3 linked regions of the Drosophila melanogaster genome follow. The protein of the gene in region 1 interacts with the protein of each later gene in a pairwise test. Each region holds a gene or a part of one and is shown in the gene's direction. Other genes may lie near its edges. The genes, in order: Pdcd4, CG15646 and stum.

The links.
Region 2: the proteins of Pdcd4 (region 1) and CG15646 interact in a two-hybrid assay, tested with the Drosophila melanogaster proteins (one large-scale study listed by BioGRID).
Region 3: the proteins of Pdcd4 (region 1) and stum interact in a two-hybrid assay, tested with the Drosophila melanogaster proteins (one large-scale study listed by BioGRID).

The regions. Positions count from the first base shown.
Region 1 is NC_004354.4:13,752,344-13,757,251, reverse strand, and holds the start of Pdcd4 (programmed cell death 4), read left to right. Parts: upstream 1-1,845; 5' UTR 1,846-1,999; exon of another isoform or gene 2,000-2,422; intron 2,423-4,908. Other genes in the region: CG32625 (uncharacterized protein), read left to right, coding at 492-668, 737-994.
Region 2 is NC_004354.4:15,667,263-15,672,702, reverse strand, and holds CG15646 (uncharacterized protein), read left to right. Parts: upstream 1-1,673; 5' UTR 1,674-1,919; intron 1,920-2,905; exon of another isoform or gene 2,906-3,252; intron 3,253-3,367; 5' UTR 3,368-3,408; coding exon 3,409-4,641; 3' UTR 4,642-4,818; downstream 4,819-5,440.
Region 3 is NT_033778.4:21,672,818-21,677,921, forward strand, and holds the start of stum (stumble), read left to right. Parts: upstream 1-2,083; 5' UTR 2,084-2,485; intron 2,486-3,256; exon of another isoform or gene 3,257-3,512; 5' UTR 3,513-3,697; coding exon 3,698-4,509; intron 4,510-4,571; coding exon 4,572-5,039; intron 5,040-5,104.

The DNA.
Region 1 (4,908 bases):
CCAATAAATCAAAGAATTTAGCAAATTGATCGGCGCACGTGCGTTAAAAGAGGTAAACAACGTCTATCGCCGGACTATCGGTTATCGATATAGAACACAGTATGGCAGCGCTCCTTAGGGCTGTCAAGTGTTGGAATTATCGCATTTAGTAAATAACATAATAAATTATTTACAAATGAATATATTTCAGAATGCATTTTTATAATTTACACAAGCACTGCAAACAATCGAACGTTTGTATTTTTATATTATTATTTTAAGAAAAAAAAATACTGCAAGCTTCTATTAAAAATACCAAACGCTGTAGGAGATTTGAATAGAATTGTTGTTGCGAAATTCTCTGCTCATTTTGAAAAAAATACTGCAAGCTTCTATTAAAAATACCAAACGCTGTAGGAGATTTGAATAGAATTGTTGTTGCGAAATTCTATGCTCACTTTGAAGTTGACGAAGGGGAAGTTCGCAGAAGGCGAACAAAACTAGTTGTAAAAATGTCTGCGGATCCAAAACTTTATGAATATGTCAATTGTCCCAACTCTAGCTCGCATTTGGTAATGCTGTTTAAAATGCCCTACCATTTGCCGCTTTGTGCCAAGAAATTTCCATCGGACGAATTAGCTCGCTGTCCATATAACAGAACCCATATGTACCCTATTGCCGATATATATGTAGGTTATGAATATATATTATATGTATGTAAGCAAATATTAAATTCAATTGTTTATCCCATTTGCAGGAACATATCATCAAGTGCCCGAGCTACTTACGCGAGGAGAGCCACAGCGACGCAAAAGAAGATGCCAAGGACTGTGATGCCAAGGAAAGTGATGCCAAGGACTGGGATGCCGACCCGCCGGTTTCGACATATGATCCGAATATCCACTGTGAGAAGAACCCTATCATTCGTCGTCTGCACGGAGCTACGCGCTCCTCTCGCCGGGCATTCCGCGAAAAGGAACGCAAGCGATTAATGGATTTGAATACTTTTCCTTAATCTATGAACATACTTACTTACTTACATACATCATATGAATACATACATATACATATACAACATACATACAAATAAACATATTTCATACATTTCGAAAAAGGAGCGTTTTATGTTAGCATAGATCAGCGTTTATTTAAAAATGTATTCAAATTAAAAATTAATAAGAGTTAATTCAAGGAATCTTCAACATATAATTTCATAAATATTCATATGGTAATTAAAATTACAAATAAGAGAGCCACAATTGGCGGCAATTTTGTTTTTTTTTTTTGCTTTCTGCCGCCACTTGGAAATGTACAGCAATTCCTGTTCAATATTTACTTCGTTTTCTTTTGCATCGCTTTCTGCCGCCAATTGGAAATGTGCTGCAATTTGGGTTATGTAGCTGCCCGCCCTGTTCAAAAATTCCTGGAAAATAAGATTTTACTGAATTGAATGTTTTTAAATCTTGATAAAAAGGTAAGATCATTGGGCGAGTATATATATACATCCAGTGAGTGTGTAAATAAAGTAATGTTTCATTGTTTTTACTAAATATGCATATGTTTGCTTGTATGCATTTCTTTCCTTTTTCTTTTAAAAACTACTTCTCTGAGATGCCACTCTGTTGGACCATTCCCAGAAGCCATCAAAATTCAATAAGTTTCGTTTATCTTAGTTTTCCTCATAGGCAGGCTTACTACATAGGATTGAATTTGTATTTACATATATTTGCAAACTTTTTAATAAACTTCCCCGTTTTAAGGGGAAGCTTCGCCAAGTGCGCTTTTATAACCCACCACCTTACCAGAATCGAACAGTCTGGCAGCACGGTCTCGCCGAAAAAGTATAAAAACCCACGTCTCGTCGCTCTCTGGTTCAGTCGAGTTGAGTTTTCACGGCGTGAACAACAGTGTGCGTTATTGGTTCCTTATTCTGCGGTTCTTCAATCCTTTTTGTTCCAATCCTACTGAAAAAGAAATCAAAAGTTCACATCGTTAAGCGGCAAAAACAACAAAAGCGAAGGTGAATAAGGCATAAAAAACAGCACACGCAACTGAATAGTTGTGGGTGTGCGAGTGTGTGTATGCGCGTGTGAAGGAGCCTTTTAGTAAACACTCACACACTTGTGTATTTTTTTTCTGTGAGACACAAGATATTTGAGTGCATTTTTTGCCATTTGCCTTGCCAACCCCTCTCCCCCGCACGCATATAAGAAGAGAAAGAGAGGCAGGGAAAAAATAAAGGAGCCCACGAAGAAAAGCAACAACTATTAAACAGGCTCCTCATCGTATAAAAGCAGCGCAGCCGCCGTCAACGTCAACTGCAGTGGGCCAACGTCGTTGCAGTCGTGTCGTTAGTTTTTGTTCTTGTTGCAGCAGCAGCATCAAAGACAGAAGTAGAGAGAGCGAGCGAAACAGCCGGAGAGACAAAACAAAAAGCACTTAGGTAAGTGGCAAAATAAAAAAAAACGCAGAAACAGCAGCAGCAGCAACAACAACATCGATCTTGACGAAGACCAATTCAAAGAAGCAAGCGAAAAAAACTGCCGGCGAATGCGAATATAAAAGCAAAAACGAAATTACAGTCGCGGTCACAAAATTATGCCATATTAGATGATTTCAATAAAAATAGGTGAAATTTAAGAATTTGTTGATGCGCGTTATTTGCTCCAATTGGAAAACGTTGGTCTACGTGATAAAATCAACCGGCACACACGCACGCACCCGAAAATTCGAGAAAAACTGAAACGAGGAAAGCCGAAACCGAAAAAAAAAACAGCTGCCCACATTGGATGGGGGGTGAATTTGTTTGTTTTTTTTTCTGCCTGCCAAACTTGTTCCTTAGGCTTTTTGATTTTATTTTCGTTGTCTCGAGGTTTATTTGCATTCGGCGCCCCGTCCAATGTTTCCATGTCATCCGATTTTGTTTTCCCATATTATCTACCAGAATTGCTGGCTCACAGTGGTGGTACAATTCACTCTGCATAATTAACGATTATTTAAGTATTTAACAAAATCAGATGCAAATGCAATATGACCTAAAGTATAATATGACTCCAAACCCGAGATGTGTTATTAGAAGGGTTCTGGACGGGGAATTTTGCAAACAATTCCAGGCAAAATACAAAAAAATTTCAATTTTTCTGGTTACTGGATGCCAAACAAATACAGTTCTCAGTTTATAAAAGGCATAACAAAACCATCAAATTTATTCTGTAGTTTCAAAAAGAGTGGGTGACACAAATTGGTTTTTAATTTCTTTTATATCTATTTATGCAATTCATGTGCGCCTAATAGTTCGATCTCTTCTGTTAAAAAAAACAAACAACAGCATTCAATGGTGAGAACGTCTCTGCTTCTTTTTCTTGTTCTTTTTATTGGACATTGCTTATGTATTTTATTTTTTGCGAAATGTTTGCGACGCAATTTCGACAGCGTCACTTTATTTTTATGCTCTTTTCCATCGCTCCTCTTTATCTCTCTCTCCACTTCTTACAAACTCAACCTTTTCCTGATTTCGGGGTTAAAAAATAATTTCGGACACGCATCAATAAAAAGCGCGAAGGTGGAAAAGAGATTCGAAAAAAATGCTGAAAAGCGTTCATTTTGTTATTTCTGTTGTTGTTGTTATCCGAAAAAGGGGGCACAACAAGTGCGAAAGAAGGAGATGAAGAATCAGATGAGAAAGAGACCGGAAGGAGACGGCAATAAAAACATAGAAATTCGTGAGGCGCACAAAATTTTCAAGGTTATACCGGGCAAAACAAACATAAGACCGGTAACAGCATATGTATATGTATGTACATCCATATTACAGAGGGGGAAATACATAAGAATCCGCGTTTAAAGAAGAGGAGAAAGCACAAGCGGCGCAATATAAAAAGCACTCAAAAAACAAAAACAACACATGAAAACACAAAAAAAAAAACAACACATGCGGCTCTTTTTTGCACGTTATCTTTGTTTTCATTTGTATTATGCTGACATCTATATGTACATGGATGAAAGAATTGTATGAGAAGAGTGCCAAATCGACAATTTTACAACCGAAAATTGCGATAATTAATCAGAAAAGTTTATCAAACGAATGTACATAATTTAAATAAATCATATTATGTATTCGTGTTGGTTTGTTTGATTTGATTTTATACATATTTATGTTTGTGCTATATAGCATTTAAATTAAAAGTGCAAAACAGCATAAAAACATTTCAAATAAATAGGGAAAACAAAAGCAGCTGGAAAAGTAAAACATGTGTATGTATGTAGGCACTTATGTACACCAAAAGCAATTACATAGGCATGGAAATACAAGCAACTTTCAATTTAGAGTTAGTGCGAAGGAGACGGCTATATTGCTTGTGGGGGTTGCAAAGCTTTAACGGTAACAAAATTATGTAGTAGCTTTGGTGTTGTTGTTGTTGCGTGACCTTGAATTTCGTCTATAGGGGAGTTTCGATACATGTCCCTATCGCTATCCCTGTCACACCCACGCCCATTGACAAACATTTGCAATTTCCAAGACGCAGTACCGTTATTATATACAGATGCGGTCAAAAAAATGGCGCGAAAGCTGAACATATTATTATGGGTATATCTTAAAAATGAAAACCTAGAAACTTTTTGCAAAATTGTTAGCACTTACAAAAAAAAATCCGTAAAATAGCGACCCCAGTCATTTGTACATAGTATATATTGACTTCTGATCTTGTCATTACAATTACTTTGTATTATTGTGAGCATTAAATTTATGGGCATGCCAAAGAGCTTGTTCTATATTTAGGCAAAAACTATTAGATTTGAATAGCCCGAAAAAGAAACCTAACTGAACTTGGAAAGAAGGGGTTTCTGAGGGGCCATTGTCGGCTACGTGCCAGACATCATGTGTATTTATTTTAGTTCCATGTTTTTCACAGCCGCGACGCGCACAAT
Region 2 (5,440 bases), 1.9 Mb from region 1:
ACATCTAGATAAAGTGAAAAGTGGGTAGGGAAAAGGTAATCTTGAATCACAAGCCGCACACTGATAGCGCCAGGACAGAGCGGCCGAGTTTTGAGGAAATCCGAGGAATCACACATAGGGACCCACAATGCACAATCCTTGGGCCGGACAGCTGTTCGCTCGGGGATTAGCACGGCTAGGCGAGCTCCTCTGCTCCCTCACCTTCTGCTTCTGCTTTCTCTCATTACTTTCGCCGGCGGGGCGCGCAAAATTATTAAAACCTGGCCCTGAATTATGGGCCATAATTTAGAATTTGTATTTGCTCAGAGCTTCCCTCTGGCTCCTTCGTCCTTCGTCCTTCTTCCTTCGATTTCCACTGCTTTCCCTTTTCTTCCGCTTTCCCACTCGATATGCCTGGCGGGCAATGGCAGGGGGTGGGGTTTGGTATTGGTGTGTCTGTGTGTGTTCACAGGACCCAGATCCTTTGATTGATTTGGGATCGCCGTGAAAAGCTGGCATCCATTGACAGGCAGGCACTTCAAGGACCAGAGGCTCTCGGATCGGCTTATTTGCCCAGGATCATGCGAAATGCCATGGAAAAGGATCTGCAGATCAATAGGTGATGCGAAACACAGGGAATAATTGGATCTGGCTAGGGAAGACTATATGGCGTATTGTTTAGACTGATTCTATTGTCAGTGCCTTGAATTTGGTATTTCGCAGCCTTAAATATTAAACATATTCGATTAATTCATAAATGATCAAAGTCGAAAGCATCAAGGATAAGTAATTTTGCATAAGGAAACTGCTTTTAAAGTTCTCATTAAAATATAGTATATATTTTCAGACTTACCGAATCCGCAGGATATAATTCTAAAAGTCACTCCTGACATCTTGCCAAACACTTCCCAAAATCAAATCTCAATCAATTTCGGAACATGTATATCAATCGCACAAATGATGATGGCCCAATGGAAGGTCCCTTGTGGGCCATTAATATTATATATGCCGATCGTTAGCCGGAGCATTTGTCAAGCATTATACGATGGAAATCCAAACTTGACAAATGCCAAGTGAAATGCCATGTGAGATGAATTGGAATGCAAAGCATTCGATTTCAATATCAACCCGATCGCTCCCGCTCCGGGGGGTGGGACGAGTTCAAATTGCCGGGCTAGTGGTGGTGCTACACTAGGTTTTCAAGTTCAGTCCAAGGGAATGTCCTTTCCGAGTCCCGAAATTCCTCAGCAGTCAACAGGGGAGAGAAATCGGGAGAGCGAACGAACGGCAATCTCACCTTCAATATTGAAAGGTGCTGTTGAAAAGGTGGTGGTTCCATTAGTACACTGTCAAAAAAGACTGTAGTTCAATACTTTTAAATGAACTAAAAATATGTAATAATCAACTATGATATATATTTAGGATATATTTCATTTGTATACAAAATTCCTAAATGTTATCTTTATGTGTGCATAAAACAAATTCGTAAATAGTTATCAAAATCTGTTTCAAATAGTTGGGTATCTTCTCATTCAAAAATCTGTAATACATTTAAAATATTTTGTATAGCTGGTCCCAAAGTACAACATATTTGTTTTCAGTGTGCCTCGTGAGACCGGGTTTCAAGCTCTGCGAGGTGAGCACGCAACGTTTGCGTGCGAGGGTAGAATTAGTCACTTTTCGTCTGTTGCAGCGACAGGACGTGTATTTCTCTGCGATCGCGAGCAGGAAATAAATTTCAAAATTTACAATTTTGATTTCCCAACACCCGTCTCGTTACGCCTATTTTCATTTTTTTTTTAAACGTGCAAAGAAAAAATACCACAAAATTTTATATTATTTTTCATTGTGAAACGAAGCAATTTCTGAACTTTGGATACCCCAAAAAAAAAAAAACGAAGAACGCGAAAAATTCCAAAAAAATATATACAAATAAAAAGGTAAAGATAAGTGAAGTGCATGAAATGGAAAACGAAAAGCCAGTGTGCATATTTTCGGGCTAAATGTGCATTAAAAATGCATTAAAGCAGAAGTGTCTGGGGCAGCGGGGTTTAATTAAAAACACCCCATTAAAATCGCCTAAAAACGTATAAATTGTGCGCGTGCGATTTTGGGTTATGTTTTGCTGGGTTTTAGCTCCTGCGTTTTGGTTTTGAGCTTGGGCAATGGGATATGGGCAATGGGCTATGGGTTAATGGGTTTTCGAACTCGGGCCACTTGGCCCAAGTGCTCGAGTGCTCTTCAGACCAAAACGAGAGCGGCGGCTGCAAAATGCGCAAAAATGCTAGCACGCACGTACATATCCCGGAATCGAGTAGATGAGCGAAATCGCTCACTCCTGCGGATCCCCCCTTATCGCCATCACTCCTCGAGTGGCCGGAGATCGACACCACTGGAGGATGGGGCAGAGGAATGGGAGTAGGACGAGGCAACAGAGTGTGCCGGCAGCACCACCATTTTGCCCAAGTTCACACGGCAAAAAATATATATGTTCTCCCAGCCACACTTTTTTTATCACTTGAATCTTCAGTCTCAAAATCATGCAGCTCAACAAATTTACTATTCAAAATGAATAATAATTATATTAGTAACTTTCTTGGCGAACTTAGTTCCCAAAATTTCTATTGATTTGCAAATTTAATGAAATGGTATATTGGACCGCTAATTTCTAATTTGACTATCAAGGGCTTTGCTTAAATATTTTATTTTTATAGTAAAGAATGTTGTAAACATTTTTCATTTCTATTGAAATTTGAATAGCTTATTGCTTTTATAATTTAATCGGGTACTAAATCTGGAACCAATTTTAATATCTTCTTTATTGTAACAAAGCCATTTAGATGCCAAATAATTCCCCAGATTCTGAAATTATTTGAACAATAGTTCAATCAGTTAAAAAATAATATAAATAAAATGTATAGATATTCCGATTTTTGCGCATAAATCCCCAAATTCCTGCCTGATTTTGGGTGATAATTTCTCCCTGTGCCGGCACACCACCCGAGCACACGATACGCGAGGCAGAACCTTGGGCTAAATCGCAGCTGGAGGGCAGTGCGTTGGTATGGCGAACAGGAGCGAACCGGAGGCCCAGAAAATCGCGAAGCTTTAGCGCGCTTTTCCTTTGTTCCCGGGCTCTTTGTGCCGGCTCAATTGTTCGCAAGGATATGCGGAACCAGAAACTCCTTGCGGAAATCGGGAAGCTGGCGTTCAGCTGTGCGAATCCTTGGCGAAATCCCAAGCAGGCCCCTGTGCAAACTCGTTTCGCTACAAGTTAGTCGGGTTTTTGCTCTGTTTTTGCTTTTTTTTTTTGCAATTCCATTCTGCTTGAGAAGCTTTGCAAATAGACAATCGCTAACTAGCCCTATCCTTTTTGCCACTTTTCCAGATATCTTGGCACCGCAGGAGCGACAGACAGCAGCTGCCAGGATGCTCAAGTGGGCTGTCAACCAGCCGCGAAACTCGTATCTGGCCAAGGAGCTGGCCATGGGATCGCAAACAGGATCGGAATCGGGATCGGGATCAGGATCTCTCGAGCAGAAGGCCGAAGTGGTGGGCTCCAGCTACAGCGAGTTCCACGCCCTGCGTGGCAAACTCAAGAGGAAGTCGATCGGAGTGGCGCCAGGCAAGGAGAACCAGCTGACCTCCACGCCGCTGCCGGCCAGCTCCTTGAGCCTCCATGCTCGCACACCACTGCTCAAGGACCTCAGCAACATCCTGGCCACGCCGCCATCGGGAGGAGCAAGTGGCGCTAGTGGGGCAACTGGAGGAGCAGCTGCTGTTCCCCTGAAGTTCGCCTGCACACTGCCCACCTTCGAGGCGGAGTACTCGCCCAATGCCGCCATCATTCCTGGCTCCCTGATCGCCCTGCGCGGCATGGGCATCCCGGACAGCTACTTCGAGAAGCCGCGCTACCTGGAGCAGAAGCCACTACCACATCCGCATCCCCATCCGCATCCAGCTCCTCCGATCGGCGAACAGAATACGCTCAGTTCCAGCCAGATGGGCGATGTGACCCTGGAGCGTATGATCGATGCCATCCTCGAGAGCAACCGCAAGGTGCTGCCCAACGCCAGACAGCAACAGCACCAGCATCAGCACCGCCAGCCCAGGCAGCATCTCCGCCAGCGGCACAGGCTCAGGCAGCAGGTGCTCCGGAGCAGCCACGGACACGGGCACGGGCACGGCTCCACCCAGACGCCATCGCCCACCTACCGCCCCGCCTTCGATCCGGCCAGCGATCTGTGCGAGTACTGGAAGTCGCCCTCGCGGAGGGATTCCCTGCCAGCGGAGGGCTTCGAGGAGCGGGAGGTGCGCTCCCCCGTGCCCACCGAATCCGAATCGCAGGATGCCAAGCGGCATTCCCTGCAGCTGCGCAGGCAGCGGGTGGTGCGGCGCAAGCGAAAGATCACCACCAAGATCTCCTCCAGCGTCAGGCAGTCGGCGCAGAAGCTGCTCGCAGCGGCCAGGTCCGGATCTGCAGTGCCCAGCCAGCGGTTCGCCCAGAAGAGGCGCCACATTAGCCCGGACAGTGGGCACAACTCGACCAGCGATTTTGAGGAGGAGCTGGTGGCCATGGGATCATGCGGCGGGCGGGTGGAGGCGGTTACCAAGCGGCGGCTGAGCTTCTCCTACGCCGAGGATCTGTTCGTGGAGAAGTGACCCAATGCGGGTCATGTCCATATGTTGATTTTTGACTTCTGTTTGGTTATAACCTAAACCTTTTTTTTTTTTTTGAGTGGCTAAAAGCGCAGCATTGCCTTGGAATACGAATGTTGAAACAGATCCTATAATTACCTAAGAATCCTTTTTTTTTCTGACAAATAAAAAACCGATTTGAAAAACTAGTTGAATTGCGAATTTATTATTCCTAATATCCTAAAAAAGGAAAGTTCGATTTGTTACCATTAAATATGAACATTTAATTCTTAAAAGGATGTAAAGATCATTTTGCCGCGTAAACGCAATTGGGTCCTTGTTAGCGTTAGATAAGTACAACCATTAATTAGAGATAAACTGTCTTCTACGTGGGGATTACTTGGCAATATTTCAGAGGCAATATTCTAGAGTTGAAGTTAAACTGGATTCTCACGTTCCGCCCATGAATTCATCACCGTCGACCTTTCATTTCCAACCGGCGAGCTGGCAGGATATGCTGGATAATATGCACTGAGCTAGAGGGTGCGGGAGTAACAGTTGTGGTAGTAAAAATGTTGCGGCATATCCTGCGAGTCCTTTACACGGCACTTATCACGCACCTGTGCACCACCAAATGGCGAACCACCAACAACTACAAACGACAAACGACAGGCTACAAAACGGTGGGCATTTGCATAAATTTGCATAGAATCGACCAAATTGTACGGTCAACGGCTTGTATCGAGGGTTTTGAGCCAGGATTCGAGGTCCTTGTTAACTGTACTCCAGATCTACAAACGGCGAATCACCGATCCATAACTAC
Region 3 (5,104 bases), on another chromosome or scaffold:
CATATCGCGTGGGAAAATCTTATTGCAAGCGAATAAAATTACCCAACCGCTCCCAGTGAGCAAAGGTGCAGTTTTGAATTATATGAATTTTCATCCATGGGCTTGGCACACTAGATTAGGGTCAGCACTATTCCCGAATTTTGATTAGCCAAGCCCAAAGTCGAGATTAGATTGCTGCGCTCTCTCAACCAGATCAAGTGAATCCGCCAAAGAGTTTGGGCTCGGCTAATCGAAGCCCCTTCAATTGGGGGAATCAGATCTGCATCTGCACACCTGCACTCGTGGACTCCACGCTGTCCACCTGTCTTGAGTCATGGCGCAAAAAAAAAAGAGGTTAGAAACAATAAAAACAACTTGCGGCGCGCCGCCAGTGCCAAGTTTTCATGTCCAAGGCGTATTTATGTCAACCGGAAGTAGGTTTACTGACCCACGTATACCCGTGTGGCTGGCCAAACGTGGACTTCGGCTTTCTTCGGTGGTTTCTTCACCTAAACCCGACTGGTCAGTTGCCGTGGAGCTCCACGGCGCAGGACGATGTATAAGAAGGTATTTGCCCACGGCGGATTAGTTTTTCTACGAACGGCGAGTGCAGTGCATCGGATCGATGCAAATGCGCGTTGAATTTTTTGGGTATTCAGTTTTTTATTTGAAAATCTCTCACCTTTTTTTTTATGACAATAACTCTACAAGTAACGGTGCATTAAAAATTAAAACCAAACTGCCTAAAATCGGATAGAAATCGTCGGATATATCGCAAACATTAAAAACTTCCAACTCGGTTGTGTAGTGAAAAAGCCCAAAACAATTAACTCGTAGATGTCTCTAGGAATTCCCCGACTTGTGACTCCGTGTGACTCCACTGGGGGTTCGAGTTGGACCCCACAAGGGGCGGGTTTTTGGGGGCTAACACGACATTAGCCAAGGATTTCTCCGGCACTGCCACTTAAAAGTCCCCCCGTTCCGAGGGATTCGTGGCTTTGGTTTGGGTGGTCTGTGTTTGCACACATACCTGTCTTTAGGCGTTATTGCTGCCACTGCCGTTGTTGTCTTGATGTTGCAACAGTGCCCGGCTGGCCAAGGAGTTCGTAGCTGCGGGCCAAGTGTTGTTGACTCCTAGCCGCTGCACAAGGCAACGCGGAATTTGTTGCGGTTTTGACCCTATTCCAAAGCCAAGGAAAGTGCAGTGTACTCGCCGAGGGTCTTATACTCACTCAGTCGAGTGCAGGAAAAGCGTCCTTCTGCCGAAGCCTTTTGCAATATTTATGGGCAGAGACACCTTTCACACAGTGATTAAGTGATCCTAATTTTTGGGCGACGCATAACTATTTTTTGACATTCTAGCGGATAAAATATTCAAACACTTAAAATAAGGATATATTTACTTTCAATACTAAATCAATAGGCGTATTTTAAACTGATTTTTTTGAACACAGTAAAGGAAAGTTTTTATTAATACCTATCATTACGTTCAATCAGAGCTCTTATGTGCAATCTCCAACTCCATAAAACTGCATTAAAGTGAAATGAGCGAAAGTGTTCATTGAAATACATGCGTGCATTCAATAGATACAAGTGGCATTAAAGTTATGAGGCATCCCGAAAAGTATGAAAAATTAGCTGACTGAGCTTCTCGGTGGCAGGCAGTGCGGCGTAGAAGTACAAAAGTGTTGGAACATCGCGTGCCACAGACATACCAACAGGTGTCACAGCCAGCCGGGGGAAACTGGGGGAAGCAATCAAAAGTTGTCTAAGAGGCAGAAAGAGCTGAGAAAGAAGCACACGCCGCACAGATGAACACAACGACATGCAAACGGCTAATGCAGCCGCCTCGCTAGGCGGCGAAATGCGGAAAACTCGCGGAAAAGTCGCGGCGAATTGGCGCCCCCGGTCGCCTTTTCTTTTCGGCTTTTCAGTTCGCCAGTCTCGATATCTCAGCGGGTCTGCGTGTGCAAACTGTTGGGGCACCGAGTGTGTGTGTGTGTGGGGGGGGGGGGCATTGTGTGCTGTTTTGGATTTGAAGTGTAGGCAATATTTCTCTTGAAGGCCTCCATTTTGCTCACTTACCGCTGGTCGGCCATCAGTTTAAGTTAGGCAGCGGCCACGTTTCGTCGCGTTTCCATTATTTGTTGCGGCTTTTCAGCAAATACATTCTATTTCCGAATTAGACTAAACTTAAAACCCAAATGTAAATTATATAATGCGCTCCAGGACCAAACTAACACAGTCAGTGTGGACGTGGCAGGTATTAAAATTCGTTATTCAAGTGTGACCGAGCGTTAATGAGATGCAAGAAAACTGCGTGTAATGCGGCAAGCGATTAAAAAACCAATTCGCAAATAGGAAGCTTAAGCCGCCTGGGAGCCGGCCAACTCCCCCAAAACGCGTCATGGCCAAAACAAAACGAAAGGAACGAAAAGGAGCCGGCCAAGTCACTTCCTTTTGGCCCAAAGTGTGTCACCGAAATTCGAGCGGCGGGCCATAAAATGTAGGTTAAATATTAGGCAGAGGAAAATCAATGCGAACAAAGGCCATTCATTCACACCTTTCCTCCACCTTCCCCCCCAAAACCTTCATGGGCTACGTCATTTCGCTAAAATATCTGCGTACCCAGCCGCACAGCTCCAATTAAACCATCGCCTTCTTCTGGTGATAGGATAGTCTCAGCCCGCTGGCTTCCACATCTGCCGGGTCGTTCGACTTCAAGTGCAGTCACTAATGCGGCAATTTGCAACATGCAACGCCGGTGCAGCCAGCCAAGCCGAAGCCATCCGCCCAAAAGCAAATCCCCATCCCCATTCCCCCCATTCAAGCCTTTGAGGCCTCCTCATCAAGTTATGCTCTCGTTAGCGCCAAGACAAGCGTTTGGGAGTTGGGAGTCCGACTCGGATTCGCATATAGCAGCAGGTGCATGGCATACCATAACGATTCCGATTTCAAATCGGTTTGGTTTCGGGGCGGCTTTATCAGCGCCTCGCACGCAGCTATTTATAGTTGAATGTGGAGTGAAATGGCATTAGAAAATAAAGCCGTGCAGTAATAATTACTCTACTATTTTTGCCACAACCAGTGATGGAAGCGGACGTATCCGGGCAGTTGTACCTAATTACTTTTTTTTAATTGCTGATGAATTTAAATTACTTTACTCAAGCTATTAAAAATTTAGGATATTTGAAAAAAGTTACTTGGTATGAAGACAGAAATTACTTTTATTATTATTTTTAAAAATTCGCCCAGGTAAACATACTCAATACCCTTTTCCATCACTGCGAATTGGCAATGAAACCGGCAGCCCTTCAGTTTCGCTCTCCGGTTTTTGGGACTGCCTACTCCGTGCTCCGTGCTCCTCGTTCCGTTATCCGTTCTCCGCCGGTGAAGGCGTCGCGTGTACGTCTCTCTGACATTGCAAGAGGGCCGGAAGGTCTCGCTGGTCGTCTGTCTGTGGAATCAAAAGATGTGCGCACATGGGTGTTGTGAGTGATTTTTAAATACATTCTGTTGCTTCGAATAAACAGCTCCTGGCGTCATTGGTTTTGTGGCACTTAAACTAAAGCGAAGGACGAACGCGGAGTGTCCTGCGTGGAAATCGGCTTCCAACTACTGCAACCACGACTGAATTTCGCAAAAACGCTGCAACAATGGATAGGAAATCATAGTGAATGCATGAGGGCCGAAGATCGGTTAGCACCCATGTCAAGCCATGCAGCAGACCCTCTCGTACTCATCATCATCGCCATCCCCATCCCCGATGCCCATGCCATCAGCCTCAGCCGCACAGACGCCGCCACCGAACCCGAATCTGACACCGAATCTGAACATACGTCCAAGTACGAACCCAATACCACGACCCAGATCCACTGGAGGCGAGTCCGCGTTCCAGCCGGCCATCATCCCGGTTGATTATAGCTATCGCACCCATACCACCCGCTCCATTCTCTCCGCCCAATCGATGGCACCCTCCACGTTCGCCTCCAATCAGAGCTTTGTGCGCCAGCCCTCGGAGTCGGATGCCCAGCCGTATAGTAGCCTCTTTGGGGATCCGGTTCCACCGCCTCTGCAGCCGGATGATTACTTCGGAACAGCAGCATTTGAGACGTTGCGAAATGGGTCTGTGGAACTGCCCAGCTCCGAGGAGGATGCGCTGGTGGCCGCCATGGCGCTGAACGCACTTATTCCTGCGGCCAGGGAACGCATCTTTCCGAGTGTCCCGTACTCGAGGACTCCCCGAGGATCCCTACTGCCTTATCTCCAGCCACCCGACATCCAGATTCTGCCCAACTCGAGCGGTGGCTCCAGTTCAGAGCAACTGGGCTCACCTAACTATCGGCTCCTGGCCCCCGATGACATTCTGAACAAGCCGGACGTTTATGATTTGGAGAACGAGGTCGAGGAGTACACCGTAGTCGGTCAGAGAATGTCTTTCGATGATGAGGAAGATGAGCCGACGAGGACTCCTAGCCAAGCGCCCGCCAAGTTGAGTGTGTCCAGCATCACGACGGAGGACCACAGGGGGTTGGTATTTGAATACACCAATATATTATCCAAACTAATCCTTCGTGATTACCTCCTCTTAGATTACTCAGTGACTCCTATTCGGGAAGGGATTGGTTCCGTCCGGCGCCACAGCACTTTCCAGAGTTCACACGCATCCCACGATTGCGGCCCAGCTCCAAAATGATTATGTCGATGAAGCAGGATGAAGGACCTCTCTCCCCACTGGCCACCATGATCCAGGACATGAACAGCTCGAGCAGCGGCGGAGAGGAGCGAGTGGCACCCAACCAAAGCAGGCCCGTTAGCAGGGACGTTGTACTCTCACCGAAGCAATATCTGGAGGAACAGTTGGGTCTGGAGAGAGGTAGCCAGAGGCAGTCGCTGGAGGACTATAGAATGCCACCTCCACCGGCAGACCCGCCCCCTTTCCGTAGAACTGACTTGACGGAGCAGGATGACAGCCGCAGTGTGGAGCCTGAACATAGCTTAAAGCGGGAAATGTCCCCAGTTATCATCAGGGATTCAATACCTATGGGCGGAGATTATAGGTAAGGTTATCCTGTGGAAAATATCCATAAAGATAATACATATATTCAAGTTTTTCTGTCCCCTC